Linked DNA regions of Drosophila melanogaster. The protein of the gene in region 2 interacts with the protein of the main gene of each other region in a pairwise test. Each region holds a gene or a part of one and is shown on either strand. Other genes may lie near its edges. The genes, in order: Nf-YA, zfh1, CG9705 and CG14005.

What was found.
Region 1: the proteins of zfh1 (region 2) and Nf-YA interact in a two-hybrid assay, tested with the Drosophila melanogaster proteins (one large-scale study listed by BioGRID).
Region 3: the proteins of zfh1 (region 2) and CG9705 interact in a two-hybrid assay, tested with the Drosophila melanogaster proteins (one large-scale study listed by BioGRID).
Region 4: the proteins of zfh1 (region 2) and CG14005 interact in a two-hybrid assay, tested with the Drosophila melanogaster proteins (one large-scale study listed by BioGRID).

What each region holds. Positions count from the first base shown.
Region 1 is NT_037436.4:9,439,556-9,447,644, forward strand, and holds Nf-YA (nuclear factor Y-box A), read right to left. Parts: upstream 2,713-8,089; 5' UTR 2,608-2,712; coding exon of another isoform or gene 2,569-2,607; intron 2,412-2,568; 5' UTR 2,338-2,411; coding exon 1,138-2,337; 3' UTR 501-1,137; downstream 1-500. Other genes in the region: Bet3 (blocked early in transport 3), read right to left, coding at 1-5, 2,569-2,607; Srg3 (Sting-regulated gene 3), read left to right, coding at 3,776-3,809, 6,147-6,730; CG3529 (uncharacterized protein), read left to right, coding at 7,441-7,507.
Region 2 is NT_033777.3:30,762,763-30,771,286, reverse strand, and holds the start of zfh1 (Zn finger homeodomain 1), read right to left. Parts: upstream 5,362-8,524; 5' UTR 5,004-5,361; coding exon 4,907-5,003; intron 1-4,906. UniProt on the Drosophila melanogaster protein: Involved in the development of the embryonic central nervous system, embryonic mesoderm and adult musculature.
Region 3 is NT_037436.4:16,776,518-16,784,676, reverse strand, and holds CG9705 (uncharacterized protein), read right to left. Parts: upstream 4,578-8,159; 5' UTR 4,257-4,577; exon of another isoform or gene 4,173-4,256; 5' UTR 4,021-4,172; coding exon 3,887-4,020; intron 3,215-3,886; coding exon 3,092-3,214; intron 3,014-3,091; coding exon 2,839-3,013; 3' UTR 2,258-2,838; downstream 1-2,257. Other genes in the region: CG9706 (uncharacterized protein), read right to left, coding at 1-1,368; mus302 (mutagen-sensitive 302), read left to right, coding at 5,196-6,462, 6,524-7,083.
Region 4 is NT_033779.5:5,797,817-5,805,292, forward strand, and holds CG14005 (uncharacterized protein), read right to left. Parts: upstream 4,160-7,476; 5' UTR 4,071-4,159; coding exon 3,856-4,070; intron 3,793-3,855; coding exon 3,054-3,792; 3' UTR 2,701-3,053; downstream 1-2,700. Other genes in the region: CG7239 (uncharacterized protein), read left to right, coding at 4,589-4,896, 4,956-6,027.

The DNA.
Region 1 (8,089 bases), on a different chromosome or scaffold from region 2:
GAGTTCTGTGTTTTGATTTTTCGTTTGTTGTACAAAGGAGGAAGAGAGGAGAGAGCAGATAGCGAATAAAAATCAATCCAGAGCCAGAATAAAGCGTTTTATAGGCCTGTACCATATACAAAACTGTAGCCATTCACGAGTTCCGCAGTAAATGTATATGCTTTTTTTTTTTAATTTTATAAACTGTGTTGCATTTATTATGCGGCAAATGGTCCTCAATGGTGCTTTACCCGTTACTCGTAGATTCAAAGAGTATACTAGATTCGTTGAAAAGTATGTAACAGGCAGAAGGAAGCGTTTCCGACCATATAAAGTATATATATTTTTGATCGGAATCAGTAGCCGAGTCGATGTAACCATGTCCGTCTGTCCGTTTAAAAGAGATCTCAGGAAATATAAACGCTAAAGGGTTGATATTGAGGTTAATGATAGAGACCACGACGCAGCGCCCACAAGCCGCACAAAATTGCCACTCCCACACTTTTGAAAATTTTTTGGATATTTTTTCATAATTTTATTAGTCTTCTATCGATTTGCCAAAAAATTTGTTTGAAATTTATGAACTTTTGAAATTTCGAGTTCGCATTTCCAAAAGCTGAGTAACGGGTATCTGATAGTCGGGGAAGGCGACTATATCATTCACCCTTGTTGAATCTTATATTGTTGAGCTCTGTTGTTTTGCGGTGACTATTGGCAGCCCTTTCCCCATTCCATTTTGAAATGAACTATAAACCCTAAATTAATAATTGCATTACTTGTGTAAATTTTGAAAATGTCTAGTAAATGAAATAAATTCTCTATTTAATAATTACAAACAATTTTTAACAGCTGGCTAACAGAAAATAAATATTAGAAATTAGAAACGATTTAGAAAATGAATATAATAAGTAAAACAATTATCTCTTTCTTGAACTTATCACTTTTCCAATCTAAGTGAATGAAAATAAATAGAAAAACCCAAAAATTCCCTTTGAAAATAATATATGAAGACTTAATTTTGAAAAAAAAAAAAAATGAAAACTATGTGAGCCGACTAAAGTGGTGTGATTGAGGACAAATGGACACAGAGCGACTGGCTTAGGACTAAACGCTATGACTACAATCTTATCTAGTTTGTATCCTACAGCTAGGAGGCGACTATTCCGATTTGATCGCCGTTATGGTAATGCTGGGCGTTTGATGTGGCGCGATCAGTTTGGGCGGAGCACGTGCCGTGCCACGGCTGAGGGTGACGCCGCCACTGGACGCCATTGGCATGCTGCCGCCTTCCGGGCCGGACGAATCTTGGTCGCCCTTCTCCTGTGCCGAATGGAAGCGACCACCCTCGCCACGAGCCCGATTCATGGCGTGGCGATGACGAGATTCGTGCAGATACTTGCACCGTTCCTTGGGTATGCGCGACTCTAGCTTGGCCCTGGCCTGCCGCCGAATGAGAATACGTTTGTACTGCTTGGCATTCACATAGAGCGGCTCCTCGTCCGCCTCGCCCTTGGAGCTCTCGTCCTCGCTGTTCGTATTCGTTCCAGTTGTACTTGTGCTGACATCGGCGCTTATATTATTGACTGCAGCACTGGCAGCCACCGCCGCCACCGTCTGCTGCTGTTGCTGCTGCTGCTGGTTTTGGGTCTGGGATTGTACTTGTTGATGCTGCTGCTGTTGTTGTTGGGTAACCACTGTGCCCACTCCGGCGCCTACTCCGGCATTGGCGGCCGCTGCATTCACCGCTGCCATCGCTGTCTGCGGCACCATTATAATCTGTTGCCCAGCTGTGGGTGCCGCCTGATTAGCGCTCGGTGCTGGATTGATCTGCACCAGCTGCCCATTGATATTGAGGTAGTGCGGCGTCGGCTGGGCTGCCATGGCAGCTGCGGCGTTGGCCGCTGCATTCGGATCCAAGGCGGCAATGGTGGGCGTCTGATAGAATATAGTCTGGCCATCGGGCAGCTGCATCACCTGCATCTGTGGCTGCTGCTGCGCAGCCTGCAGCATAATCTGGTTGGCCTGCAGCGGTATCAATTGTGGCTGCAGACCCGTCGCCGTCGCCTGACCCTGTGGCTGCTGGCCAATTATGATTTGCGCCGCTCCGGTGGGCAGCATGGGCATTGGTATCACTTGGATGGGTTGTGCCGTTGCTGCGGCATTTGTGGCTCCTCCGGCTGCAGTGCTAACACTTAAATTGTTGCCGGTTGTTGCGTTGTTGTTGCTGCTGCTATTGCTGTTGTTATTGTTGTTGCCGGCGGCGGCGGCGGCGCTGGCGGCAGCACCGACGGCAGAGGCGGTGGTGCACATTCTGGGCGTGGCTGAGGGGCGACTGGTGGCGCTGAAATGGTTTTCCATTGCCTGATTGCACGTCGGCTTGTGCCTGTCTGTGTGTCCGTGTCTCAACCTCAAGCCCCCAACACACACACTTACTGGAAAAGTGAATGAAGCCGATTTTGAGGGTGGATGGCACGTCAAAGATTCGTTCTTAGGCACTATGGCACAAATCTAACCTTACAACTAGATCTATGCCTCCAAATGACTAACGATACCGATCTTGCGCTGTTCTCTCTTCTTTGGCCAACTTACCACTTTCTTGGCGTCCAAACGAGAGGCTTGTCGTGACATTTTCCGGCTGTTTACGTTTGGATATTTAACAATTGAAAATAAAATTTTCTGTTTTTCCTAGTTTTACAGAGCAGGGTTGTCAGGGTACAATGCTGAAACACATCAAAATTGGCCAGGGCTGCAAGCGCTGTGCATATCGGTTGGCGTCACGGGAAAAGTGAAAGTATCGCTCAAAGTCGCAGTTATATTTAAAATTTTTGAAAAAGTATTGTAAGAGTCCAAAAAAATAATAAATGTGTGCAGCAGTTTAAAAAGAATGCACATATATTCAAAAACGTATTTTTTTTTGCTATATTAATATGTTATCAGTATAATAAATTTATTTAATAAATACATTAATTAATAAATTTGCGCTAACGTTATTTGGGAGTAAATTCCCAAGAATAAAAATGCAAAAATGTTTCAAAATGGCAGATCTAACTATCTATGTACTACTTATAGGGCTCAAGAAAGTAAAAAAATAATGCGATAGAATAATCGGCTCCCCAACATTTTGCACGCTAGACCTCCTCAAACCTTAACTCCTCAGACCTTAAGGACATTTCAGGAATATTTCATTAAATTAAAAAATCATTAAAAATTTTCCACTGTTTTTGAGATAATAACATAACAGTGGGAGGAGTTTAAGATCCGCCCTCTTTAGTACCAATACCACAACCAATCCATGTCATGAACCGCTTTATTAACAATAAGATTTCTGCAATAGATCTGCAACATTAAGATTTCAGTGGGAGGGACAGTGGGTGGGACAGTCGGCTATATTTAAATGCTGCAAAACTCCAATTTATCCCCGGCGATGACTCCTGTCCTTCTGTCCTTCCGGTGCTTTCGTCCTTCTGACGGGGTATCCAAAAATATAAAAAGAAATTAATGCTAGTTTAAAATTAAATGCTATTTGTAAAAATAATTAAAATATTGTGCCATATGTTAATGTTACCAGTCCATGTCACTCAAGAAAAGTACTTAACTTAAAATACTTATACTAAACGCTATGACCCAACCCCCATACTCACCACAGCAATGTTAGATTAAAAAATTTAATAAATTGTACTTATATATATTGCATGGCTGCAGAACATATATCATTCAGTCTCCGTACTTCCACCAGTGAAAATACCATAACATAAAATAACCAGTGAAAATAACTATAATAAATAACTCCACCGCAATGGGAAATATTTCCTCCAATATTAGGGCCATAGGTATGAAACCTATGGAACCTTTAATAATTTTAGTGAACTCTAGTTCTCCGTATTTTTTTCAATTTGTATCTTATTTTGGATAATGTTCGTTACATTTTAATAATAATAATATATTTAATTATAATGCCACGTAAATTGCGAGGTTTCTGATCCGAAAGATATAATTACAACACCAAAAAGTGTGGCAAGTGTACATACATACAGTTTGTCAAGAAACTGTTTACACACTGTAAAATAAGTTGAATTTTTGACTTTAAAGCTAAAAATAAAGGGTTTTTTGCTTAATTAAACGCAATTTTTTTATAAAATATAATTAAACAATATTTATTTTACTTATAAATCAAAAAACAAATTAAAAATATTAAATATACAAGAAAATAAACAACAAATTCCAAGTGTACACACTTTTGAGACTGTCAAGAAACTCTTTACACAAAACACTAAATCGAAGTTTAAACCTAAATTTTTTAATTATTTTATTAAAATTTTAAAAGTTTTGGTATGTAGTATGTTCCCCATTGGCTTTAGCTACAAGTTGAAGCCTTTTTTTCATGGATTGGACAAGTTTTTGCAGGTCATATTCAAACGGGATCTTTTCACACTCTTCGACTATTACAGTCATAAGCTGTTGTTGTGTTTTAGGTCCCTTTTTGCCACCTTCTTCTTTAAGTAGGTCCACAAATTTTCAATGGGGTTCAGATCAGGACTCTGAGGGGGCGTATCGATCACTTTACCACAGTTATAAGGGCGCCAGGTGCGTACATTGCACTCTTTATGTTTCTTATCATGTCCTGGTAAAACATAAAATTTGGCTTGTTGTTGCTAACTAGACCAAATTTTTCTGCACTGGCCTTCAAATTTTTTTTTTTAATTCCTAGATATTGCACGGCATTTATTGTGCTCTCAATTAAGGCTAGTTTTCCCACTCCACGGCTGGTGATACAGCCCCAAACCATCAGTGACATTTTTCCAAATTTTATTGTTGGAATGATATTTTGTTTTTCTAGCGCACTCAACGGTTTGCGCCATACTCTGCTTGGCCCGTCGTTATAAAAGAGCATCATATTTGTTTTGTCACAAAATATGACGTCATCCCAGTACTCTTCCGCATGATCCATCATGCTCATAGCGAATAAATGACGCTTTTCAATATTGGCATCTGATAGCAAAGGGTTTTTCCTTGCAACTCTTGAAGAGTACCTATGGCGTAGGATGACTTGGCGCACAGTTTCGTGTGACACAGTTAGGTGACATTCTTGCCTGATATCCAGAGCAAGTGATCTGACCGAGATTCGGGGGTTCGCAATCACTATTCGCATAATAAAGCGGTCTACACGCTTTTTAATTTTAATTTTCCGCCCACCACCACTCTTAGGTTCAAGCCTGCCCTCTTTTTCCGAGCCTTTTAAAACATTGTAGACGGTCTTACGGGATACAGGAAACATTTATACTAATTCTGGAAAAGATTTTCCCAACTGGTGGTTATAGTTTATTAATTGGGTAACTTCAAAAGTTAATCTCTTTCCAGGCATTTTATTAAATTTAATAATTCGCTTTAAGCACGTTTGATCAGCAAAATTTCACAAGCAAAGTCAACAAATTTCAATAGAAGCGTTGTAAAAAGCAATGTAAAGCCAAAAATAACGGAAAAATCGAGTTCGTTCTAAGAAAAAGAACAAAACAAAGTAGGAAAACAAAATGTGTAAAGAGTTTCTTGACAGTCTCAAAAGTGTGTAAACTTGGAATTTGTTGTTTATTTTCTTGTATATTTAATATTTTTAATTTGTTTTTTGATTTATAAGTAAAATAAATATTGTTTAATTATATTTTATAAAAAAATTGCGTTTAATTAAGCAAAAAACCCTTTATTTTTAGCTTTAAAGTCAAAAATTCAACTTATTTCACAGTGTGTAAACAGTTTCTTGACAAACTGTATGTGTCGCAAAGAATTCCGGGGAAAAACACGTTTCTTCTCAGTTTATACCCTACGTGCGAGGCATATGATTTGTCCTATCAGCCTGTTGGAACCGCTAACTCATATATTCCTTAATCTAACCAAAAACAAATTTTGCGTCGTATTTGTGAATAATGCACCGATTGATTTGATTGATTGCTTTAAGAGCGGCAGAGAGCAAAGATTACAGATAATAGGATAATGACTATTATAGTCAGAACACAATATTCTGTAAGAATCATGCAACTTATAGTTAGATCTAAATGGGCTTAAGATTATGGGTCTTGGAACAGAGAAGTTTAGCCGACTAACCAAGTCGGGACTATCAAAATATAAGTCTCAAAGCCTCACTCACTAATATACCCTACGTTCTCTTCTTTCAGAGGACGAATCCTATGAACTGTCCTCGGAAATCTGGGCCGTCGACATGGAGATCACTGACAGCGAGACCGACGACGTGCCCGTCAGCAGGAGCGTTAGCGTCAGCGCGAACGTCAGCGGGAACGTCAGCGGGAACGTCAGCGGGAAAGTCAGCGGGAACGCTAGAGGAGCCTTCAGCGGGACCCTCAGCCAGACCGTCAGCGCTACCGTCAGCGGGACCGTCAGCGCGACCGTCATTGGATTGGTCATCAACGAGTTCGTTCCAATGCCATTCAGTGGGACTCTCAGCGGGATCCTCAGCGGAACCCTCAGCGGGACCGTCGAAGGGACCATCAGCCGGACCGTCGACGGGGCCGTCAGCACGACCGGCAGCGGAACCATCGAAGGGACCGTCAGCGGAACCGTCAAGGGGACCGTCCGTGGGGCTATCAACGGGACCATCAGCGGAACCATCAGTGGGACCGCCAGCGGTACCGTCAGAAGGACCGCTGACGGAAAGCTCATTTTTGAGACAGGTGCAAGGTTGAACAATCGAAAATTCATTATCCACGAAATCTGTGGAATGAATTGTGAAATAACTCTTTGAAATTACAAAGTTTTTGAGATACATAACACGCTCTGTGAACAACCATGACTATGAGGTACCCGTTACTCAGCTAGTCGGATTGCGAATAAAATGAGAAAAAATTAAAATTGTTTAAAGATGTGGGTGTGATTACAATCCAAAAGGTGCAAGGTGCAAGGTGAACAATAAAACTAAGAACAATCTAATGTGGGCGTTGGAGTGGTCATGGAAACATGGGTCAACAATCTTGGGCTGCGTCTATGTCTCTGGAATCTGCACGCTTAATCTAAACATTCTAGCTTAAATAGTTCCTGAGATCTCGACGTTCAAACGTACAGACAGGCGGACATCGCCAGATCGACTCGGCTACTGATCCTGATCAAGAATATATATACTTTATATGGTCTGCCTGTTACATACTTTTCAACGAATCTAATAAACCCTTTTACTCTACGAGTAACGGGTATAACTATGTCATTATCTCAAAAACTGTGGATAATTCTTTTAAATAAAATGAAATAAAATGCTGCAGCCCTGGAAAAAAACCTATTCCTATTTACCCACTTATTGTAATGCATTTCTTTGTGGGTATTTTTCGCTGAGGCCAGCCATGGTCACTCTGCTGTAGACAAGTGCATAAACATTTCATCCAGGTGAACAAAAAGTAAATAAAGAACAATTTTAACCGCACTGCAACCCAACGGCGAGCATTAATAAGAAACTTCTCCACGATGGCTTCATTTTTCAACGTTGGCGCCTTGGGAAATGTTTTCTCCACTCCAGTTGGCCAGCGCATAGGTGAGTAAACCACCCTCCCCCCTCCAGCGTAAAAAAAACACCCACCGGAAGCGGGGGTGTGTGTATATGTGGTTAAAGCGTAATATTTTCCACAAATACAACGCATATGCGTTGATATTTACGCATTTACATTGATAGTTATCTGATTAGAGGACGCTTCAAGGCAGTCCCAATCAGACTGGGCCATTGGAAAATTGAATTTTCACAACTTTCTTCGTGCGTTTGCTTGTTTTCTTGTTTTGTTGTTGGTCTCTCACACACACGCGCACATTTCCATGTAGCGATACTCATTTGTTGTTGCCAGACCATTACTATGGCAAAGCGGTCTGATTTGATTTGAAAGGCGGTGGCAACAACGGTGGGCCTCTGATAAGATTAACCCTTATATGAGTATGCGGTTCCAACAGGCAGGTGTGACAAATCAGATAAATGTTTGTTGGTATGCTTTATGAAATTGCTCACCTTTTGGCACGCACACAAAGAGTATTGTTATTGATGCGCTCTTTTATTGTTTGATTGCCTGTTTTCCCTTCACCCCCTCCTGGCGGCCACCTGTTTTGCGCCCTTAGTAATCGCAATTAG
Region 2 (8,524 bases):
CAGGATGGACGGACACCCGAGATACACCCACTAATTTTATGTGCTCGTTTTTATTGCCAACTTTTATTAGCCAGACATATTTCGACTAAGCCCGGCTAATGCAAATTTATTTATTTCTCCTGCGCCGTTCTACGCTTTTGAAAAAATTCAACATTTTCATTCCAATAATTTATTTGCTCGTCGAATTTTCCACCTGACTTTCCCCAGCTTTTCCCCGCTTGTCAGTGGCCAAAGTGTTTTTTAATATTTCACTGACAGCCGATTGTCACGACAATTTTCCGCGCTCTAGCGCCGACAGGTGAGGGAAATTCTTTGGGGCACCGGAAAATTGTTTAGCGATTGCTGACGCAGTTGCAGACAAATGGACGACAGGTGGCGCCCGCTGGCGAAGAGGGGTTCGATGATATTTAATGCAAATAAACATAAATTCTAGCACTTAATTATAAACAGACCTCCGGGCCTGCGCTCATTTGCAGTCAATGAACGTGGTTAGCATATTTATGATATAAATTGCCTGCAAATGAGAGCGAGTGCAAAAACACTTAGTACAGAGCTAGCTAATTGCCAGTGGAAAAACAAAACACAAAAAAAAAAAAAATAATAAAAAAATAAGGGGGAAATGCGAAAAACGACACTATCAGACAGTCGCAATTAATTTGTAAATGAAAACCTGTGGGAAGGTTTACGGCTCAGTTGTTTGCCTCGTCGAGTTTCAGACGTGCGAATATTTATGGCCGCAATCGAGTGGAGAACGAACCCGTCTCGAACCGAATCGAATCGAATCGTATTGGAATTCCAGGAGGGTCCAAGTCCGATCTCAAGTGGCAATCGGCTTTGGGCACAGCCACACATGTGAGCGGCATGTGGAGTTGTCCCGATAATCGCTCTAAATTTGGAATGCCCTTTCGAGGGCTTGCCTACCTAGAGATCCGTGCACTGAGAACAATTGCCAGCGAAAGATACAAAATATATATGAAGGGGTTTCTGCCCTGCACTCCACTCCTTCCAAAAAAAAAAAACGGACTTTAAAGTGACGGTTTCTTTCAGTGTCGCACCTTTGCCCTGGTCTACTCTCCACTTTCGAATGGGCACAAAGGTGGCCACGTTGTGCCCCTTCAAGTGGCAAATGCAAAGGTGCAGATTCGGAGCCAGACGATCGCCTATAAATAGAGTTCTCCTTTCTGCCCTTTCTGCTTTATTTGTTTGTTCAGCAAGCTGATGCTGCGTGCTGCTTGCTGCTTGCTGCTTGCTGCCTGCTGCATGTTGCACGTTGCACGTTGCTAGTTGCTAGTTGCTGCTGCCACGTTTATTTTATTTGTAGCATTTTGCTTTGCTGAGTGTGAAATTTTAATAGCCAAGCGAGCCGTGTCCGCGTTCGTGTCCCTGTCCTTTTTTCCCTGCATCTGCACAAATGTACATATTGTACATATGTACATATATAGTAGGTCTATCTGGAGGGTAGGGAAACATATGTGTCCCGGGGCGAACTATTTCTGCGATTTACCTTGAAAAAATATGCAGAAACGCGTGTGATGTCGTGGTGTGGGCGTTCTACGCTCTGAAATTGGAGTTGCAATGCGTTGGCGAGCCGAAAGCAATTAGAGAAATATGCCGCAGAGGTGTTCAAAGCAGGGGAAATCGTGAAGGAAATATGCCCGGCCATCCATGAGATACTTTGGCATCTTGTTCCTCAAAGGGAGCGAAATAGTTACTTTAATTAGTTTGAATAATATTCGAAAAATCTTAATAACGCACAAACTAAATTCGCCATTTTAAAGAGATCTCTGAAATACTTTAACGATTACATTTGTCAGAATAGCAATAGTTATGAGTTATTTAAAAATTGGCATATTAATTTACATATATATAAATACCAAACTGAATACCAAAAACCGAAGCTTCAGCCAGTTGAAACGTACTTCATTAATTCAGCAAGTACAACCAAAGTTGGGCTTAACTTGGCTAATTGATATTCACTTGGTCCTCTCGACTCGTGTATAAATTGTACGCGCTCGAAAAAAAAACAACTCCGAAATAAAGCCCATCGAGTGCAATTGAAACTTTTTCAGTTGGCGCTACCACAATAGAGCTGTTGACTATTTTTGTTTATTTAAAACTTTTAACAATTATTGTGCAATTGTGCGAAATTTATTGCAATTGAACGCCAATCAGAAGGGAAGTGCCCTTCTGAACCCTCTCCACTCGCCAATTTCATGGCTTTCCCTGGGTTTTCCACTCCGGTTTTTCTCAATGCCAGCACCCGTTAACCAAAATCGTTTACATGTTAAATTGTGCCTGCTCACTCCTTTTTTTTTAGAGCCTCCTCTTTGGCGCTGCAATTTTGCCTGCCCTTTGGCAACACCTTTTTTAAGGGGGTGTTGCAAGGGTTGGGTGGCAGGGGGCACCCTTTTGTTTGCGCCGATTTTTTGGCACTTTTTTTTCGGGGGATAGCACGGGTAGCAATTGTTGTCTCGTGGAGAGCGGCGGGCATTAAATAAATAAGAAAAAATATATTCGCAAGGAGGCGGGCTGCATTCCGTGCAATTTTCACTTTACAACTGTTTCAAAGTTATCTTTGTTTCAATTGTGTGCACGACGGCGGCAAAAAGCGAGCAGCAAAAAATATTGGCAAACAATTTACTTTTTGGCCAAAATGCGAAATAAAAGTAAAATGTGGCAAATAATTTGCCCAAAGCTGCGGCAGGTTGAACACGGAATAAAGGGAATCTGCAGCAGGATATCAAAGAGGACTTTCCCCTCATTGATTTATTGTCCTTTTGTGCTGGTTGCAAATGGGGAGCTTCCTTTTTTTTTTTTGCTCTGTAGCCTGGCTCAATTGCAATTTAAAGACACAGTCTGTTTATTTTGGGCAAAGTCGGGCCGAAGTCTCCAACTCCACTTGAGATAGGCATCGGCAAAATTAATCATCTTTGCATGCCAGTTGCCAGATAGTTTGTGGGGCCAAGTTTGTTTAATTTCGATTACCAGCTGACGGGGCAGAGTCCTGTGCCCGGTGAAAGATGCAGGATGAGCCGGCCAGGAGTTATAAATGGCAGCACCGACAGCACCAGCATATAAAACTGACATCCACTGACAGCAGCCAAAATGATTAATTAGACAGGAGGCAATCTTGTTGCTGGTGGAACACACACACTAGGTAGGTATTCCCAATCGAAGATGCAAATGTCAGATAAATGTTTAATTTCTGCTCAGGGCTTCGATGGGCGAAAATGGGAATGGAAATTGGCGCTGATTTATACATAGAGTATATTTAGAGTATATTTAGCTAAGGGGCGTAGTCGAAGGTGATAACAGGCGACAGGTTTTCGCCAGGGCGAAATCTTTGATTTACGGCATTTTGGAGCCGTTTCGAAATGCGACACAACACACGCCGAGCAGCCGGAAAATTAGTACAACTTGACTAGCTGGCTGGCTGACTAGCTGGCTGGCTGGCTGGCGTTTTCCCCCGGCTTTTCCAAAAGCCCAGCGAACAGCATTTCGTATGTAGCCGGCGATTAATATCCATCGCAGTCGCAGCTGCCCAGCGCCATCAAGCAGCTCGGTTTGCCCAGGGAAGAGACGGAAAACAAGCGGAAAGTATATGGATCGAAGATATGTGGGCCAACCTGTGCGCAGCCATCTCTGATCGATTAGCCAAACTATCGTGTTCGAGGGCTTTTAGTTCCGCCCACAGAGAACGGAGCTGCTTAAATAGCCATAAATTATAATTTATGGCAGCGGTGTTGCCACCGTTTCAACCGTTTCCACCGAACATGTGCAATTAATCCGTCTCTTTAGCTGGCTTATCAATTGTCAGAGTCGGAGGAGTGGAGCACCGAACGAATCGTGGGCGTTTCCCCAGCATTGCGCCATCCCCAATGCTCCCCAACTAAGCGTTTTCAATTAATTTCGGCTCTTTCTCACACCTTCCATTTCAACCGATGAGCTCTGCCCACTGACAGTTTTATGCTTTGTTTACACTCGATAAACAGAGTGGCAAGCGACCAGCAATATGGCCATAAAACAGGTTCTTAAATGGAGGTGCGGCATCGCGGTAATGGTGTTGGCCAAGTTAGCTACCTGTCGTCTGCTGTTTCAGCCTGCGCATGCGGTTTTCCTGGTCAGGGGTAGCTCTACCTGGTTCTCGGTGGGTGGAGATTACTGGCAAGGCGGCGGTGCTGTTTCGGCGGTGCCAACAAATCAAATTGAGATGTGGCTGCAATTGGTCGGCCACTGGGAGGAACAGAGAGGTGGCTATGCTATGCAATGCAGGGAATAATGCCATTATTCAAGATCGACTGGCCGACTTTCATGTGTGAAGAGCGTGATATGACCAATAGATATAAGAAATCGAATGATCTGCCATGTTAAACCGTACTAATTTTAACTATATTGTAGTTTTAGCTCATGGAAAAGGACTTTCGTAGCTGAAAACCAGCGAATGATTATAGTTGAACAACAATAAGTTCTTTAAGTTCTCAAAGCGTATAGAAGTTGCACAAAGTGACCCAGTTTTCTCTCAGTGTGCTGATCGGGCAAACTTTTTCGGTTTCGGGCTCGCTCTCTCCTTTTTGAGAACCGGAGCCCGTTCTCTGCGTAGGAGTAGGTAATGGTAATTCGAGACCTGCCTCGATCCTTACTCGCCGTTTATGAGTTTGTTTTTCTATAGCTACTCATTCTTATGATCCCCTGAAGGTGGAGACCACACATATACCCAAGATGGCGGATGGTTTCTGGGAAACTGCTAAGCTTGCATGTGGGGATCTTCAAATCGAAGCTACCGAGTCTTGGCGCGCGAATCACTTGAACACAAAGTTCTATGGCACGGCTGATTGGTGATAATGGAGGCGGTTTGCGGATGAATCACCCGAGATCTGTGCTCCAGATCCGCGTTCTGATCACTTACACTGCATGGCGAAGGGGGAGGTGGAGGGCATGCTCTGCTGAATGATGGTATCCTCTTGGCCGAAACGTGAAGACGACGGCGCCAGACAGGACAACATTTGGAATGCTTGTTGCAACACTTGCTCTACTTTGATGCGGATAGTTTGTTTGGCTAGTTGGCTAGTTGGCTAGTGGGTTCTTCTGGGCTCGGCGTTATTTCTTTCTTATAGAGCACACACGTGTTGTGGCGGCCATTTGGGCAAGGGCCTTGGGTTTTTTATCTTTCGAACATGGGAAACACTGGGATTTTTCTTCGCGATGCGCCGCTGCGAGTGTCGCGTTTGTTTTTATTTTGTGGGCGATTTCACTGATCTGCGTTCTATATCTGCGTGATTCTACTGTGTGCTGCTCAGAGTTTTCTCTGTGGGTGAGCGACGCGTGTGCTGCCGTCGCGACGTCTACGATGCAACTGAATTCAGAGTTCTAAGTTTCGAAGCATCAAGCCAAATCCGAGAACGAAACAGAGACCGACGTCCTCTACCGAATCCGTCGGATGCGAACTGTGAGTTTCGGGCGAGGGCGATACGGCGGGGTTCTACGTTTCCACGGAGAGCGAGTGAGAGAGGGCGGCGCTGTTTGTGTGTGTGCTCCGTGCCACCACCAGCATAATATAACGGTGTAACGGTTCACCGTTCCGATGTACGAGGTGATTCGGGCGGGGGTAGTGTGGTTGGTGCTCTAATGCTCTGATGGGTGGTGTGTTGGTGGTGGTGCCAGAGAAGCGAGAGCGCTTCATTCTTAACATAACAGCTCTCTGTTATCGCATATCGTAAATGTTAAGCGCTGTTAGTGCCGCTCCTCTCGGTTATCCCGTGACGTAAGCACTACGTAAGGGTGGCCTCTTTTGTTCATCGTGCTGCTCGTAAACATATGGCCGTTATGCGGGATTTGACTATATTAACATTTGCACAAAATTTCGTTTTTATTGATAAAGCGACTTATGAGTCTTTCCATTAACTTTTCCGCCAACCGTCAAATTTATTTCGGTGTTATTTTATTAATACTCTGTGCTGCTGGGTATCAATATTAAAGTGTAGAGCTTAAGTGATTTACATATTTAATTGTTATAATTAGGAAATATTTTTAATAAACAGTTTAATACTCAACAATAAATAGGAATTATCTGAAATTCCCAGAATTGAACAGCAATAAGATAGTTTAATTATATACTTGTATTATAATTTTTTAAGTCTTTCCGGTAAATCAAGTTTATGACAAAATATTCCCCGTGTGGGAATTACACACATATGTATGCATATCGCTATGATTAATTCCCCACTCAAGAAAGCTTTCGATCGTTTTTCTTTCGGGTAAATTTGGCGGTGCGAGATAAAGGGGATTTCTTTTTTCCAGGGAATCCCTTAACCCTTTCCTGGCCACATCGCTGCGTTAACGGACAAAATCATTTGCACTTGCGATTGCAAAATTTCCTCTGCTGCGATTTCCGAGTAAGAAATACCGAAATCGTTCCGCGATTGCCACACATTAATGACATCGTTTGCTGATGGGCGAGTTCTTGAGAATGTCCATCAATGGACACGTCTACAAAATGACAGAAGAACAGAGATCCAAGAGATCCCGGACAACCGAAGAATTCTAACGAAGAGAGCAGAATGCGAGTGGCTTGATTCTTTGGCTCCATCAACAAGTTTTGGCGGCCCCTTGGGATGTTGCTTTTTTTGTACTTTATATTTTGCTGCTCAAAGAAACATATAGATTTGAAAACTAAAAGTATAAATGGATAAAAAGATATTTATGGTAACAGAAATTGTGTTATCGAAAAAAAAAGCGAAACATGCTCTCTTTGATAAAAAGCAAAAACAAAAGGCGGACTCGACAACATAATAAACAATTTGTACATTAATTTTTAATGCGGTTAACATGTGTTCCCCCTTCTCCCTCACACACCCATACACTCACAAACGCGGTCGCTACGTGTGTGTAAGTGTAAAATAGGTGGAGCTTCATAATTTTCTCACTTGAAACGTACTGCCATGAGCGGGAAAGAGAGCGCCGGCGGTGCAAGCGAGAGAGAGGGAGAGAGAGATAGCCGCCGGAGAGGCCGCTTTTTTTTTGTTGCCTCGCATTCATTTTGTATGTTAATTAGTTGCCGTTCACTCGCGTGCGCGTGTGTTGAGTATCTGTGTGAGGTGGCGTGGGTGTTTAATGAGAAGCGAGCAAGGTGCGCACATTGGTCGTCCATCGGTTGCACCTGTTGCGCTCGTTCGATTGGCGGAAAAGCCCCAGGGAAAATTGGAGGCTGATGAAGTGGGAAAATGACTCAATAAGATATATGCGAGAATGAATCAGAATAGATATTTATGTCTGGACTTGAAAATAATTCATCTCTTGCAATGAGCTCGTACCTCCCCGAGTTTTGTAGATCTTAATCCGCCTTCATAAGTATATATTTTTAATCAGGATCAGGACGATTGCTGTTTCCCAGCACTTCCTGTTCCTGTTCCCCCAGGAGTTGCCCTCATTAACCACTTAATTGACACACATCCGAATCGAAATGCATCCGAGTTCAATGGCGAGTACCTTCAATTACCACGTCCCGCATTCGCACTCAAGGATTTTCTTCCCAGGCTCTCGAAGGCAACACCCACTGTAGGTTCTTTATTTAAATTGGATTTGTCGATCATTTTCCGATTGCTACTAGCTTGGGCTTCCACGACTTTGGAAATTCTCACCCACCGCTGCTGGTACCCACATAAAATAGAGTTAGCTAAGTACTTTCGATGGTTCCGCATTGACGTCATCGACGGAGGAATCAATTAATTTCACTTTACAATCGTCGGATCGACGAGAAGATGAAGCAAAGGACTCTGGGAAAAGGCAATCCTTTTCGGGGTGTTTGCTGTAAATCTCAGATCTCCAGATGGGTCATCGCATTCCCACACTCCTTGGGATTGAATTGCATGCATGTTTCTCGTTTTTCCACAATTTTTAATTAGCAGTAAACTTTGCGCGGCCCCGAAAAACAAAAGAACCCGAAACCAATTCAATTCGAAACCGAACCGAAAAGTAATGACAGCGTAAATACTTTTCAGAATGTGGTGGTTCTATATGGCATAGAAAGTGGTGTGGTGTGGTGGTGGTGGTGGTGGTGCTGCTGGTGCTGGCCTCGGTGGTGCAGAGTGATGCACATTTTTGGGGTCGCCACAAACATCGGACTCTCGGCATCGGAATCGAAATCTCAAGTGTCCTCTGTTCTGCGGCCGCCTTTGCCTCATTTCGTTTAACACTTTATGTGACATTTAAGTGGCGGCGGGGAAATGTCAAATTTCCTCATCGTCCCCAAAATGCATGTACAGCGGTCTGAGCCCCATTTTCCCCCTTCTATTTTTCAAGGGTTAGAACTTGATTGGGGCGGTGGTTTTAGTCAAGTGTGTGGTTCTCGTGTGGGAAGATTTTCCCCCTCGTGAAAAGTGCTCGTTCCAGGCGCAAAGTGCGATTCCTGGTTTGATTTTCGTGGAAAGCAGCGTAAACTGATTGGTTATTGTCTTGGAAATAATGAAATATTATAAGCAGCGAGGGTTACAGTTGCCACTAATTTAGGCAATTAATAAAATGTCGA
Region 3 (8,159 bases), on a different chromosome or scaffold from region 2:
ATTATTGGAGCACTGCTTCCAGGTGAGCACGTCCACCAACCACAACACCACTGTGTTGGGCCAATTACCGCCCAGATTGCACAATGTGTTCAAAAATGTCATGTAAGTGCCACCGACGGCTGGATCGGAGATCTTGGCGAAAAAGGCCATGGCGGCCACAAACATGGAGTACAGGAATACTTGGTAGATGGCATAACTGGTGATCAGCAGGACGTAGTAATAAGCAGGCACGGCTCCTCCACGGACAATATAGGGTGTGATGTAGGCCAAGCCAGTGGCCACTGTTGCCATGATGATGCGATAGGGAATGGCCTTCAGATAGACGTCCATCGGACGTGGTCCGTTCGTATATCGACCGACCGCCAGCGGCAGAATGAGCTGCAGAGGAATTAGGGGAATGGCGAGTAAAGCCAGCTTATCCTTCGGTACACCAGCGTCAATGAGTTTTAAGCTGGTCACTGCATCAGAGGCTGCGAACGTGACCTTCACGGTGAGCAGAATTACAGCCAGAATTTGGACGGGACGCATGCACACCATGTCCCACAATATCTTGTAGCTCTCATGGATGTTCAACTCGTGCTCCTCCGTGTAGCGAGCGTCCATATGCGCGTCTTCGATGTCGTTCTCCTTCTTGAAAATTGCCACCAAAGTAGTGGCTACCACAAATGTAATGCCCCAGAACCAAAGGAAACGGGGCAATGTGATCATGCCATCCTCGAGTGGCACGTCTCTTATGTAGGTGTTGCAGAAATCCTTGGACTCCAGGGCAATGAACACCACATAGCCCAAGAAGTAGCCAGCTGTTTGGCCCACGCTATTGCAGGTGGATGCGTATCCAACATTGCATCGCTTCAGCATGGTCAAGGCCCAGCCATCCACGGCGATGTCCTGAGTGGCAGCCAGGAAGTTAAGCAGGAAGAAGAGCAGCGTCAGGAGCGGCACATTGGGATCGACACCGTTCCCGCCCAGCCAGCGATCCACGTGGAGGGAGAGGAGTAACATAAAGGCTCCCAGAAGGTATTGCACTGGGACTAGCCACGATTTCCGGCGTCCAAATCGCCGGATGTACAGGGAATCCACAATTGGAGCCCACAGCAGCTTTAAGCTGAATGGCCAGTAGGCGAATGAAAACTCCGCCTGTTGTTTGTAGCTAGCTCCTCTATTTTGCAGCAACATTGGTATGGCTGCTATGAGCCCGATGGGAATGCCCTGTAGAACGTACAGGAACAGCAGTATGGCTATATTCCTCCGGTCTCCACGAATATCTGGTTTCTGGTGCTCCGCCACCTTTTCCGACTTTGGTGGCTCGTCGATGAGCAACTCCTGGTCGGCATTGCTGCCCGTTGGCTTTCTCCTTATGGCGGACATGCTGATCAAATAGCGATAGGTATATATTATAAAGACATGCTAGTTTGGGGGCCACAGGCTCACCTGTTTTTCTAATCACCAACAAATAACACCACGTCACTCAAATGTAGAGCTTTTTACGTATTTTCCCGATACAATTCCCTCGATGCCTTTAATTTGGTTAAATGTACGATCGAATGGCTTTCTGAATATCTGCCAGTTCGGTCTTTAATTAATTCATTTTCCGTTGAATCGGAATATTTTCTTTCGTGGCATATGTTTGTTGACGTTCCAATATATTTTTATAGCAACTCTCTGTCGCACTACGCATGCAGTTGCTATAAACCGCCGCATGGTCACACTAATCATTCGAAATTCAAACTGAGTGGCGGGAGACTTACGAAATGGAAATCCATAATTTTAGGAGTATGAGTTGGTTTGGCTATTTATGGCTCTACTTGATAAATTTAGCGGGCGGAAATCTTTAGGTATCTATTGTGGCAAAAAGGTTGGTTTTTTTTTATTGAATATGTTACGGTTTCGATTTTCTGCAGAACGCAGGAAATATATTTTCAATAGTGAGCCAAAAATTCATGTATGCTTTGGGCTGCAAAAAGTATCTGCTTTCACTGCAGATAAGATACACCACTAAATTAAATACAAGTTACAGCTGCGGCTAAAACAATATTTTGCCATGTTATGAATATCGTGATATTACAATCAGACATTAGCTAATATCTAAAATGAACATTTAGATGCCGTAATAAAAACGTAAGATTAATAATTTTGCATAAAATTTTATTAGAACACATACAAGCAAGCGGCTATTATGCTGACCGCAATTGTGCGTACAATACACACTCCATGCTGATAACTCCCACGCCACTCCAGAAAAATCACCGATGGAATTGTTTTGCAGCTGTTTTAATAATAAAGTGAATTACTGAGAGCATTTTGCTTGTTTGCTTCGCGAACACATTCAGATGTTTTGTTATAATTAAAAGTAATTACTGATACAGGGCACCACAGCATCGCAGGCGCTGTGCTAGTGGCTTCTCGAATAACAATTTCAATTTCCAAATACATACGCGCTTTTAATAATATACTCGAAACTGGTTGCGGTTGCTCTCCCCTCTTCCAGAGGGAAAGGCAATATTTGTGACTGCGTTTTGTTTGACTTCCATAGCTTAGCTTAAATTCTAATTAAGTGTTCAATTGAAACTCTTGTGATGCTGCTCGCTGGCTGGCTGGATGGCAGGCCTGTTGTTCCATTCTATTACGTTCTGGTCTGGTTTCGGCTTTTTCCTGGCTGCTTCGATTGCTGTGCTTTCGTTTACTTTCATGGTTATTGTTCTGTTCCGGTTTTCCGTTTCGTTCATCTCGGGTGGCGTGCTCTAGCTCAATTAAATTTCTTGGAAGGCCGTTCAGCTTTTAACAACACACTTTTCCGCTTCCGAGCTTCGAAATCTCCCAGGGCCACAAGCTTCAGCTTTACTTAGCGGGCGAGGAGCCACCATAGAATGGCTCCTCCCACTTGTGGTGCACCTCCGGCGTCAGGTGGCTAATCTGCACGTGCACGGCCTGGTGCTTCTCATACTTGGGCGGAATGGCGCACAGACGGTATTTGACCTCGTCCCCGGGCATGGGCACATATTCACCTTCGATGCTGTGGGAAGATTACATTTTTGTAGGTCTTACAGAGCCAGCGCAAAGGTCGCCGCGCATGCAATATTCATTCACTTACTCGGAAACGTGGCAAAAAACGTCCTCTCCGCCGGCGTTGGGTGTAATGAAGCCGTGTCCTTTGGTGCGGCTGAAGGATTTCACCATACCGGTCACAACCGGATTTTCCAAGGCCCGAGCGGAGCTATGTTTTTTCAGCGTTATTTTGAGTTTGCGCGTGTTTGCGTTTTGGCAGCGTTTGGGAAAAGAATTAAGCAGGAAGAGACAAGTTAATCAATGGAGGATGCGCATGGGGATATGAGGGGGAAGAATTTAAGTACGTGGATTATGTTCGAAAGGGTTCCGAGAGCTTATAAATTCGGCAGCGACTGATTTCTGAATGTATGTATGTATGTACAATGAAATAATTGAAAAAGTATGGGGTTTACAAATTTAAACTTTCAAAAAAAATGGTCCTTACGGTTATAAAAATATTTATAAGTATATACACATAAAAATAAATATATTAAATGTAAATGTGGAACCAATAAAGTGTTCCATGTTCGATTACTAATTACTGTTTGTTTCATTATGTTTGCTCATCTAATTCAACAAATGCAGTTTAAAACATTATAGAAAGCTTTTGCTTTAGAAATTACAAGCTTCCATGCTATTCTTTTACTATTTCAAAAGGTTGTATTTGGTTTTCATACAAAAGAGCGAACCTTGTGAAATAATGTGAACTTTCGGCGCCTATTTGGCCCCATAAAGGCTCTGCATAGGGGCCAAGTTCCCCTTGGGGTCAAGTGTGTGTGGGGCCAGTAGTGGGTGGGTGGTTTTGCTGGTTGGGTGGGCAGGGCAGTGCAGGAGGACTTACGTCGAGGCCGTGCGAGTGCGCCTCGTGATGATGGGACTGGGCAGCTGCAGCGAGGCATTGGGACTATGGCTGTTGTGGTGTAAAACCGGCGGCTTGGCGGCCAGCAGCTTCTCGGGCGTCCTTGGTTCGGTCATGGCTTTCTTACACTGCTCGTTTACTTGCCGATTTATGCGTTCTTCCCCTTTCTTCGCTCTTTTCCTCTCCTCTCTTCAGACAGTAGAAGCGGCTTGCGCGTGTGTATATATGTGCGTATGTGTGTTTGTGGGTGAGTGGACGGCAGCCAAGTCTGTCGAGTTCAAGGCCACGGGGGGCGGGTTAGTCAGTCAGCAAATTGCGTTGCACTTAATTCACGTGTACTCGGTCAGCTTACCGACAACTTCACGCCCTCTTTCCTAGCACCTTGATAATTGGCAATCCAAAAATCCTGGCTTAGCTTCTTTTTTTTTTGCGAAACACCCACACACTGATGCAAATTTTACCGCTGTGCGAAACGCCGGTTGCCAATGTTATTTGTACCCCCTAAATCAGTCCTGCGCGGTATGACTTTTATCAACTTTGGAATCTGGGATTTTTTTAAACTTTTTTATCAATTATTACACCGGCTTGATGCGCGCTTTTTAAGAATTTCAGTTTTTTAACGAATGGCGGCGGAGGCGTCAAAGTCAGACCTCAGAGTGAACGTTTTGGAATGTTCCAGAAATCCCAAAACCTATCGCTTAGCCTAATTGGCAATCGATGTTTATAGCAACATGAATAAAATTTGAAAATCAAATTTAACGAACAAACAGGATTAATTACAAGTTACTCCAACTTGTTGGTAGAATAAATAGATGTGAAAATTTAATTGAAAGCATTTATAATTATTTTAAACAATTAAAAAATTGCATTTTCCGCACAAACACTCAACTCTTATATAGATTCTTTTTTTATATGCTTGATATACGAAAAAAATGTGTTCAGACTAATATGTTGTCCACACTAACAATGAATATTTAAATATATTTATTTACATGTAGTACTCGATAGTTTCACCCCGTTGTTCCATCACTAAAGCATCTCGATCTTGACCATCCCTAGCTTGAAATTTAGCGTCCTATTGCAGGAAAGTCGCGAAATAGATAAAATAATAACAAGAACTTTCATGTTTTCCAAGAGGAAAACTTGATTGAGACCATATATAGGTGAAACGGACAGCGAAGGTTTCGCAAAAGGCGACAGCGCCGTGGATCCGGAAATATACTCATCGGGCAGCAGGGAATGCGATCAGTCTGAAGCGAGAAAGCGGAATTCAGACATCCTGCTGCAAGGAATGGAGAATGAAACCGAAGCTCTTGATCCGGAAGTTTATGCCGATGAGACCTCTACAGATGATAGCTCTGGTGATGATGAGGTAATCCTCAATCCAGTTGAAGGTCTGCAGCCGGCGGTTGAGATTGATGAACAACGTGACCAGCCTGGTGAGAACGCGGAACCCGAGCAACCGAGAGTTCCGCCTTTAATTCTGGTAGATCCTCCGCATTTGCCCAGTCCCCCGAGAAATTCCCGCCGCAATCAAGGCGAAGAGCAGGAGGTGATCTCATTAGAAACGCCATCACCGCCCAAGAAACGTAAACGTCTCTCCGCTGCTGCCGATAAAAGCCTTAAAAAGTCGCCCGAGGGCAAACCAATAGTTGTAGATGACGAGGACGATGGCATGACCTGTCCCATTTGTCTGGATTCCTGGGAGATGAGTGGCGAGCATCGACTGGTCTCGCTGCGATGTGGTCACCTCTTTGGGGAAAGCTGCATTCGGCGGTGGTTAAACGAAAGCCATCGCCAATCTTCTGTGAAGGTGTGCCCGCAGTGCAAGACGAAGGCCACATTTAGAGATATCCGTCATCTGTATGCGAAGCGCATTCAGATGCTGGACACGGATATTAGGGAGCAGCTGGAGGCGGAGCGGCGGCGTACACATACTCTAACAACAGAGCTGGCTACCGCGAAGCTGGCTAACACACTCACCACTGAGAAGCTGATTCTCCTGCAGAAGGACTACGAACGGCTTAAGGAGCTGGTGAGGGCAGGTGGTGGTCGGGGAGCCTTCGGAGGCGATGCATCCGGCCAGAAGAGCATTCAACAACTAGCCACCTACCGATTGTACATGGAGAAGAACTTCGAGATAACTCGAGATCCCGGCTGCCGTGTATTGCTCTATTCCGCCAAGCACTCCATGCTGGTGGCCTCGCAAAAGAGTGCCCAAAACCTGTTCCCCGGCTACGGCGTACGCTTTATTGATCCACCTACCTTCAAGCCCCTGCAATTCCTGCACACCTCGGCACTCCTAATCCGGGACATTGCTTTTAGTGACTCACAGCACTTGCTCACTGTGGCCAGTCGGGAACTAAAGATCAAGATATTCGACATAAGAACACGGCTTTGCTCGTCTATGTTCACCGCTCATGACAAGATGCTGTGGTCTTGCGCCCTGGATCGCAACGAGCGCGAACACTTTCTATACGGCGGAGATCTGCGAGGTGGAGTTTATATCTACGACTTGCGGTTTCCCGAGAACATTCTCTGCGAGTTCCAAGCCGAAGGTGAGTGTGATGAATATGCAAACGTTAATACCCGCTTAAATCATTTACTTATTCCCTACAGTGAACTTAAGTCCTGTGATACACATAGCTCCTGTGCAACCCAATAAGATTTTTACCAGCGGTGGCTTCCTGGTCTGCCAACTTACGGCCCTTACATTCTACGAGTACGCTGCGGCCAGTGATACGGCTGTGCCCACTCGGCTAAATGTGGAGGGACCCTTTCTGTCCATGCAATACGATGCCGTGCAGGACACGGTGCTCATATCGGCACGATCCAATCCGAATTTCCCCCAGTCTCGCTTCATACTTGGTCGAATGGACAAGATTGACGGAACGCCGGTGCTGAAGGTCAAGGCCACCATATATGGATCGAAGGCCACACCGGTTATGACGCGACCGACCCAACTGGCCGTCGAGGATAATACCTTAGTGGTTGGCTATCTCCAGGATAGTAAGCAGCTGATGATGCATGATGTGCGGCGGGAGGAGCGAGTGCAAACAATGCCGGTCAACGAGGTGATCTACGACATCTGCCCTGTGGCTACCCAGGCCGGATCCTATTTGGCCGCCCTCACCGACAATAAGTGTAGAGTTTACAAAGTGAACAGTTCCATGCGATGATATATGTATGTGTGCATTAGTTTTCCGTGAAAATAACCAAAAAAAATTTTCTTTTAGCTAATTTCTGTGAAATATGTGACTACTGATATAAACGAGCTTTTAAGCTAAGTTATTAGTTATAAATTTTTCATTATTTCCGTTTATTAAACATTTGTCAACCTTAAGGTTCGCGTACAAGATTAATCTGAACATAATTCTATATTGTGTGTACTCCATGTTTTTGTTTTTGATTTTTGATTTCAATTTGTGAATGCTCAAAGTCTGTTGTGGATAAGTCTTGTATAAAGCAATAGAAAATGTTGGTTCGATTAATAATATACATATAAAGCTATACAAAAATGTTTTATCCATACAATATCCGATTTATATATGTATATGCGTAATTATAGATACTCCTAAATGAAATGTGGAAATGAACGAATGTTTAAATAGATGTCTAAATTCATTCCTGACAGTCTCGAAATGTTTGCAACACTTCAAACTTTTGGAAAAGTCCTTCGATCTCAGACTTGCAACGAGTCTGACATTTCCAAGCCCAAGTAAATGTTTATGAATTCGGTTTTCTTCTCTCTTGAGTCTTGAGTTTTGTAAAATTCTATCAAAAAATGTTCGTCGTTGGTCGTTTGCTGGTTTTTTCTTTTTTTTTCGTAAATCAAAAACCTCTGTGGCATTTACTCCTATAAAGTTGTATATGGTTTATAGTATTGTATATAGATTAGTGTGTTGAATAGTTGAAAGACGCAGATCTATACTTTTTAAGTATAATTTTGTATATTTTGTGATGTTTTATTTGTGTTTTTGCTGTTTGTGTCTGTGTGTTTATGTGTTCGTTAATGTTAAGATTAGAGAATACGTACTCGTATGAAGAAACGTATGGAGTCAGCATAACTTAAGACTTTCAACTTAAACTTTAAGAGAACTAAATATCCGTTACACATATATTTATATATATATAAACATTAGATTAACTTATGCTAAACTAAACACGAAACGAAGTCGGGAAGTATTAAGCTTTGATTAGGTAATCGGTTCGTATTAAATTTAAAGAAATCGATTATTACTTAAAAATCCAATGG
Region 4 (7,476 bases), on a different chromosome or scaffold from region 2:
TCTGGAATTTTCTTGGCAACGATTATAAACTTCCGCTTGAATCTTGTGTATTAGATTGTTTCTCTCGCTATTTATCTAAAAACCAGACATCTTTCCGAGCTAATCGCATCCAAGGTCCTATGTTCTACGTAATCCCAACACCGCAATGCGTTGGTATCGCCTTAAATTTACCAAGTCCCTTACTATAGTTTCTTATCTACAATATGCGACATCAGATACCAGATACTGAGCTCTGTGATGCAGAAAACTGCTCTGCTTGTTTTACTATACAAATATTCGCAATTATTGAGAAAAACATTTGTTTAGTTCAGTTATCGTTTGATTACCCAGAAAATGATCGAATCATACTAATGGTGTAAATAAGCACGTGTTTATCAAGTATAAATATTTAATAATAGGGCGAAACACATGGAACTAAACGCGCAAACTGTCGTATAATTGGCAAATATTTTATTAATAAACAGCAACACAACAAGTTAAGTAGATCGTGTTAAATTGCCCGTTCGAACCACTTCGCAGCGAAATGTTGATTTTTTATGTACAGCTCATGTCTATTTTTATACAACTTAAGATCCATGTACTTAATAAATTGCATAGAATTGTCAGATAACAATAAAAAGACAGTAGTGCTTATAACAATGTGGAATACACAATTACCTAATACACTTCCTCCTATATTTAGCTTTTTTCGACACCTCCAAGTTCTTTTTTAATAGTCGTGCGCATAAATTAAGTTATATATTTTCGAGTGTTTGCTAAGTGACAATATTTAGCCACAAACGACGAGAAGATTTATGTGGACTCCGGCGATTTAATGAGCTGTTTTTAAAGAAAACAAATGCCAAACAAATTTTTAATGGGCTAACAAATGTGTTGTTAATGTGAAAATTAAATCGCGATTGGAAAATGGAACTCATCAAATTGGCAATTAACCAAAACGATTAATTTCAGTTCTCTGCCTGCGAATAAAATGGAACTTGTTATGATTTTCCCATAGATTCGATAATGATTGCCAAGAATGTTATCAATCTTATCATTCAAGTGGTATAGAACCGCATGATTAGCGCTCAAGGAAAACCCCATAAATGACGACAATCATGGGAAATTTTAAACAAATTATGGTAACATTATAAACCTTAAAAATTGTACTTGATGTAGTTACGAAGTTGGTCTGATATGAGTAGCAAATTTCATAAAAAAAAAGGCGGAAGACGAAAAAAAAAGGGGCGAACAATAGCGCCAGTTAGGCATGATGTATAAAATAAACTTTTACAATTGTTAAATATTATTATCGCACTTACATCACACACACAGCGAGGAGATTTTCGATTTTTGTGCTGCTGCTGATGATGATTTAGATAATTTCTTTATTTCGATATTTGCTGGTGGCCGCACGAATTTGAAATTTGATTTCTTTTGATTTGGCTTTGTGTTTCGTATTTTGTTGATTTTTTGGCTGCTCTTTTGGGCGAAACGAAAAGAAATCGCGCTAATATTTCTGCTCTACCTGCTGTTTGTTGTTGCTGTCGCCTCGCTATGCTTTGCTTTGCTGACCGTTTTCTATGAATGAAAGAGGCGCTGGGCAAAAGCAACAACTGCAACAAAACAGTAAAAAAAAGACGTGAGAGGCGTGACGCGACAGCAGAGAAAAAAACCGAATTAATGATGGGAGGGGGGGGGGGGGGTTAGGCGGGGCAAAGCGAAATGTAACGAAACGGGTTTTCACATAGTTTGTAGCCCAGTGTTGTGGCCCTGGAGAAAGAGAAACGGAGGAGACACGCAAAACAGAACGAGAAACTTTTACACTGGCCAACAAACAGTGTGAGAAGGCGTATGGGTGCGGGGGGTGAGGTAGGGAGAGGCGCGGCAGGGCTCAGCTGATTGTGATTGGGATTTTCGGGCATGCCACATGCAGCGGCGGCAACAGCAGCAACAACAATAACAGCCTCCCACTCTCGCGCTCTCTCACTCGCTCGCTCTCTTTGCTGCAAATCGAATTTTTTGTTGTTTATTTAGGTGACGCTCGCACACATTGGCAAACATTTCAATCCGTGTGTGCTGCACACTTGTTTTTCCTTCTTTAGCCCCGATTCCACGGCAATTTGTGCACTTCGCTGCCGTTCGTTTGTTTTATCCCAATCTTAATCTTTATTTTTATCCCAGACTGGCGGCTGGCTGGCTTTCTCCGCACCGCACAAGCACACACACTCGATACAATCGCACACACCTTGATGCGCTCCTTTGGCGAGCCACTCATTTGATTTAAAGGCCTTTTCCGATTGGCACGCGCGTCCGCCACCCGCACACACGCGAAAAACACGACCGTTTCGCTCGAAGTCTCGAAATCGAAAAAGTGGAAAAGCCTACAAAAAGTCTGTGGCATTTCGGTTGGCAGAGAGCGCATTGTGCGCTAAGAGAGCGACTAAGAGAGGTCCGCATGCGGTGTTTGCGGATATTTTCACATTCCGGCTACGGCCACACTGCTGCAGCAGGGGTTGATGAACAAATAACCGGCGGTTGTTGCACACGCTAAGTTGATCGAAATGCAAAACTTAATAGGCTATTCACACTGATTTCATTTGAATTTATGTTTGATTTCGTTACTATTATATCAACAAGATATTCTGTAACAATAGAAATAATAGTATAGTCTATATAGTATAGTATATATATATAGTATAATAGTCTTTCATCTAATTTATTTTTTAGCCAGTTGTTTAGTTTTAGTTTTTTTTTTAAAAATGTAGCTACCATACAAGTTCGCCTCAAGACAATGTTTTTAATTTAAGACTAAAGACCGTATAGATTGATCTTTTGCACAGACGATTGTTCATACACATTACACTTATGACGCTAGAAAAAGAACGTTTGAGAAATTATAATATCTTCGGTTCGCTATGCTGCTGCTTTGTACGTCGAGTGAATTAGACATCTGTGTCTGAGAAAGGAACGAATTGAAAAACATACACAGGGTCGAGCGCCGCGACTCTATTCCCAACTTAAAGCTAAAGCTGTCATACAATGTCCTTACCACGTGGTGCTAGTAGTCGGGATCATGGTTCCAGCTTGATGGTCGTTTGCTTTATTAACGCCAGCACTGCCTCCTGCCGCTCCATATACGCCAGAAAGTTATGTTTCATGTCCAGGAACTGCTTCTCCTTGCGCACGAGCGACTGCAGACAGGCGTCGTTCTGCTGCTCGAGCAAACTGTTCTCCTTGCGCAGCGCCTCCACTATTGCCATTGTGATCTTGCCCGAGTGCGGCAGTATACTACGTCGCCCTCGTCTCCTTTTGCTCGCCGAACGTTCGGCGTCCGTCTGGCCACCGTTGGTGTGGCCTCCATATGGCGCATCCTCTGCCTCGGGCAGGATGTGGTTGGCAGGCGTGAGAGGCGACCGCTGAATGACACTTTCGGCAGTAGCTCTCTCCAGGTAGTGGCTAGCCGCGTTTTCCAGCTGCGTCACTGTGGGCTTGTATTCAATATTCACCAGCTGGTGGTGTTCGTCTGGCAGAGGCTCTGTCTTCACTACTGCGGGAACTAGGGGCTGGGCATCGAGGAAGGTGCATCCCTCTGAGTCGCGCTCAAATTTTAGCTGGGCGGGCGAAGTGTATAGCAGTGGCGGCAGGGCGGGCAAATCCACACGTGCTGTCGCACGGATCGTCTCCAGCACATTGCGGAAATGGAAGAGGGCGGACGACGGCCAGGCAGGACAGAAGAGGCAATCGATCAGCGCGTAGAGACGCCAATCCTTCGCGAAGTTCGCATTGCCCCCCACGCGATTGCGATCGTTCCTGCAGAGAAGTGGAAGGAGATATTAGCACTGTGAACTGACCCGAGCCGCTGCTGCGCCTCACAAATACTTGTTGCGGTAGCTGTTGATGCGCCGGCGAGCCTCCTGCTTATTGAGCCGAACTCCGTTCTGCTGCAGGCCGTGCGCGATTTCCCGGAAAATGGGCAGGTTGTCCGTGTAGGAGGGTATGGCATGCAGGTGCTCGCGCCACAGCCGCAGTAGCATGGCCTCCTCCAGCGACGTGTAGTAGCGCAATCGCAGGTGCTTCTGGCCGCTCATATTCCGGTCTAATTTCAATTTTGTGGAATCGTTATAATCCAAACATTTTCGTACGTGACCAAGGACCAGGCGTGGAAATACCAATAACGCTTGAGCGCGGCAGGCGCCAAAAAATACCATCAATGATTTAAATTTTCTTATAGAGCTATTGAAATCTGGAAAAGATATATCTAATATCTTAATAATTTTATTTCTTAATATTGGACTAGCCCCAAAGCCATTCTCCCAGCTGTAGTATATACATGATACTGATATGGTACTAAATGAAATTTATTATATTACTTATTTCAGGAAATTCGCTCAGGAATCTAGGCATTTTCGGCGTTCTCGCGCCGCAAGGTCACACTCTTCTGTGTATCAGAGCTGTTGTTGATTTTTTGTGCGGAAAAACTGCACTTGGCTTCAACCATTCTACCACAGCGTCGCATTGTGTAACTAGAGTGGAGATCGCATATCCAAAGGCAACGTTACAGGGATACATCTGCGGGAGCAGATCAGGAGCCGGTGCAGAGCAGTCGATGGACTACGAGAAGCTGGCGTTGAACGCGGGCGGAAGCGGCAGCGGTGCCGAGCAGGACTTAGGCATGTGCGGTGGTCAGGAGCTGCTCGATGGCAGGGGCAAGGAGAAGGCGCGTCGCTACTGGACGCCCAGCGAGGAGGAGCGCCTGTACGAGATCTGGGGACGCGACAACTGGCGCCTGACGCGCACCGGCAAGAACACCATCTTCTTTGGCCGGTGGGCCGAGGAACTGCGCGACCGGTTCGCCGTGGACGTGAAGCCCGAGGAGATCCAGATGAAGGTCAACCAGACCAGGGCCAAGTTCAGGTAGGTAACCGTTTAGACACTTTGCTATACCGGATTAACTGACTGGTTTCCCTTTTAAGGCAAGTCAAAAAACAGCTGCAGGCGGATCCTTCGAGCTATGCTACGCGCTGGAAGAAGTACGACATTATCAATCGCATCCTGAAGAACCTGCACAGGCCCAAGAACGCCGATCCGCTGCCGCCAGAGGCGCTGCTCAACAACCGCGACATGACACCGCCCCGGGATGATGCGTCCGCAGAGCAGTTGCAGCAGCAGCCACAGCAGCAATCCGTTCAGCAGCAGCAGCAGCAAGGCTTGGGACTGGCCAGTGAGCCAAGCACTGCCACCTATTACAATAGCAGCAGCAATAGCAATCACGGCAGCAGCCACAACAACAACACCAGCGGCGGAGTTAGCTTCAACACGGAGCTGTTTACGGACCAGTATGACGAGGTGGTCAAGCAGGAGTACGAGGACGATGAGTACCGCTCCATTCCCTTTCAGGAGCAGTTGCAACAGTATTCCCCAGCCGAGCCGGCTCAGCTGCTCGAGCTGCAGACGCCACAGCAGCAGCAACAACTGCAGCAGCAGCAGCAACAACAGCAGCAGTTCCAAACAAACTATGAGTCGCAATTTCAGCAGCAGCCGGCTCAATTCAATAACAACAGCGTTATTAGCACTGCGGCCACATCGACCGTCAACCATCAGCCCATAACGGCGGTAGCCTATATCAATAGCAGCAATAACACCATCAGCGTGGCCACAAACGCAAACGGAGGCATGCCAGCGCCGGTGCCCGCACAGGTATCGGCATCGGTTCCGGCTGCAGCTCCAGTTTCGACCACCAACAACGCCGTCGTTGGCGCCTCCCCCGTCCCTGTGCCACGGAAGCGCGGTCGTCCATTCGGATCTGTGAATCCCCCACACGCAGACTCGCTGGAGGCGCTCTACATGGAGGAAGTTCGGCGAAAGAACCAGCTGCTCTACGAACAAACCAAGATATGTCGGCAGCGACTGGAGCTGGAGGAACGCAAGGTCGACCTCATGCAGACCTTCTTCCCCAAGTGTCTTGAGCAGCAGGCGCAGATTCTGAGCCACGTCCTTCAGCTGCAGAAGCAGCATCAGCATCCTACGGCCCAGCGGCCGCAGTGAACTCCTTTTCCGACTTTTCATAACCTCAATTTTGGACCGCAGTGCACGAACACTGGTTTTCAGATACTGGATTGCTGCAACATGCCGCTTCGCAGGCTGATCGGTGCCACGAAACTTAACAAAAAACATGCAAAACTGTTTGTAAGATTAAAAAGTAAACTTAAATAATAAATATATTTAAATAACGAAAATCGCTGGATTATTGCTTTTTTTTTATCGATTTTCGAGTTTTGAAACCGAAGGGTTATATTTTCACAATCGATTTCTGCAAAGTTATATAATAATATTATTTGGAGCAAAGAATTTTATAATTATTTAATAGAAAAATAACTTAAAATCGAGGCACTGAGCACCAAATGTAAAATAACATTTTAAGATTAAACAGCGCTGAAAAGTATGCAACATTTTTATTAAAGGAGACTAGCATACACCCTTGTCAAAGACACTAGAATAGAATATTCTAGGGTCTTTGCCCTTGTGGATGGATTGTTTATGTCAATGTTTATAAAATCGGCAGGATCTTTAAAAGTGCATACAATTACAAAAAACAAACGATCTTCATCAAATAAAAATTGAAATAGGAATGCTAGATACTTATCCCATCTCAATCTTCTTCTTGAAGTTGAAAGAATATAGTTAGAAATCGAAAGTAAAAATCTTTGTTATCTTTACTTTTAAAGCCGTGAAGGTAGACGCCCTCCTAATGGCAAAATATTCTACATTCAAGTATGAAATCTATTTAAGAAGCTGAATTAGAGGGATTCGACTGTAAGATACTCACTACACACTCAAATAAAACGACTTGTTTTGTGCCATCAAAATCGTGATAAATAAAAAATAAAATAGTTTAAAAAGCGAACATAGTTTCATCGCAAAGAGGTATTAGCTAGTTCTCAGGGCTCCGAAGTCTTTATGAGAATTAGTACTAATGAGTGTCGCTTCCACTTGTTAAATGGGGTCTTTCGCTATGGTTTTCCCTTCATTGGCCGCTAATTTAATACAATCATTTACGCTCAGCAAAGTTCACTCGCTTTGGAGATGCCGAGCACTCCGCACTTGTTTCCAACATCAGATTCAGATTAAGCGTGGTCCCTTCAGCTATGCTCGGTGGATTTAGCTTGAGTGCCTCGTTGCTGTTGCTCCAATTAGCGTTAGGATCTGTTTCCTCAGCAGATGATGCGAAGTACGGAGCGCGAGTGAAAAGCCCGTGGAAATTAAAGCAGTCAATCTACGGCTTGGGCAGGCGATTATTAGCTTTTAATGGTAGCTGGCAAACGGGTAAGCCTCCTAAAATTATTACTGATAAAGAATTAAGTTGAACGGGATTTATGTAAATAGTACAAGTCTAAATACTTTATAAGGCAATCCCTCTGAACATTCTACGTATAAGTGTGATCTTTGTTGTCAAGTGTAGGTTCTTAAGAGCGCTATAAAACTAACGGCATCTGG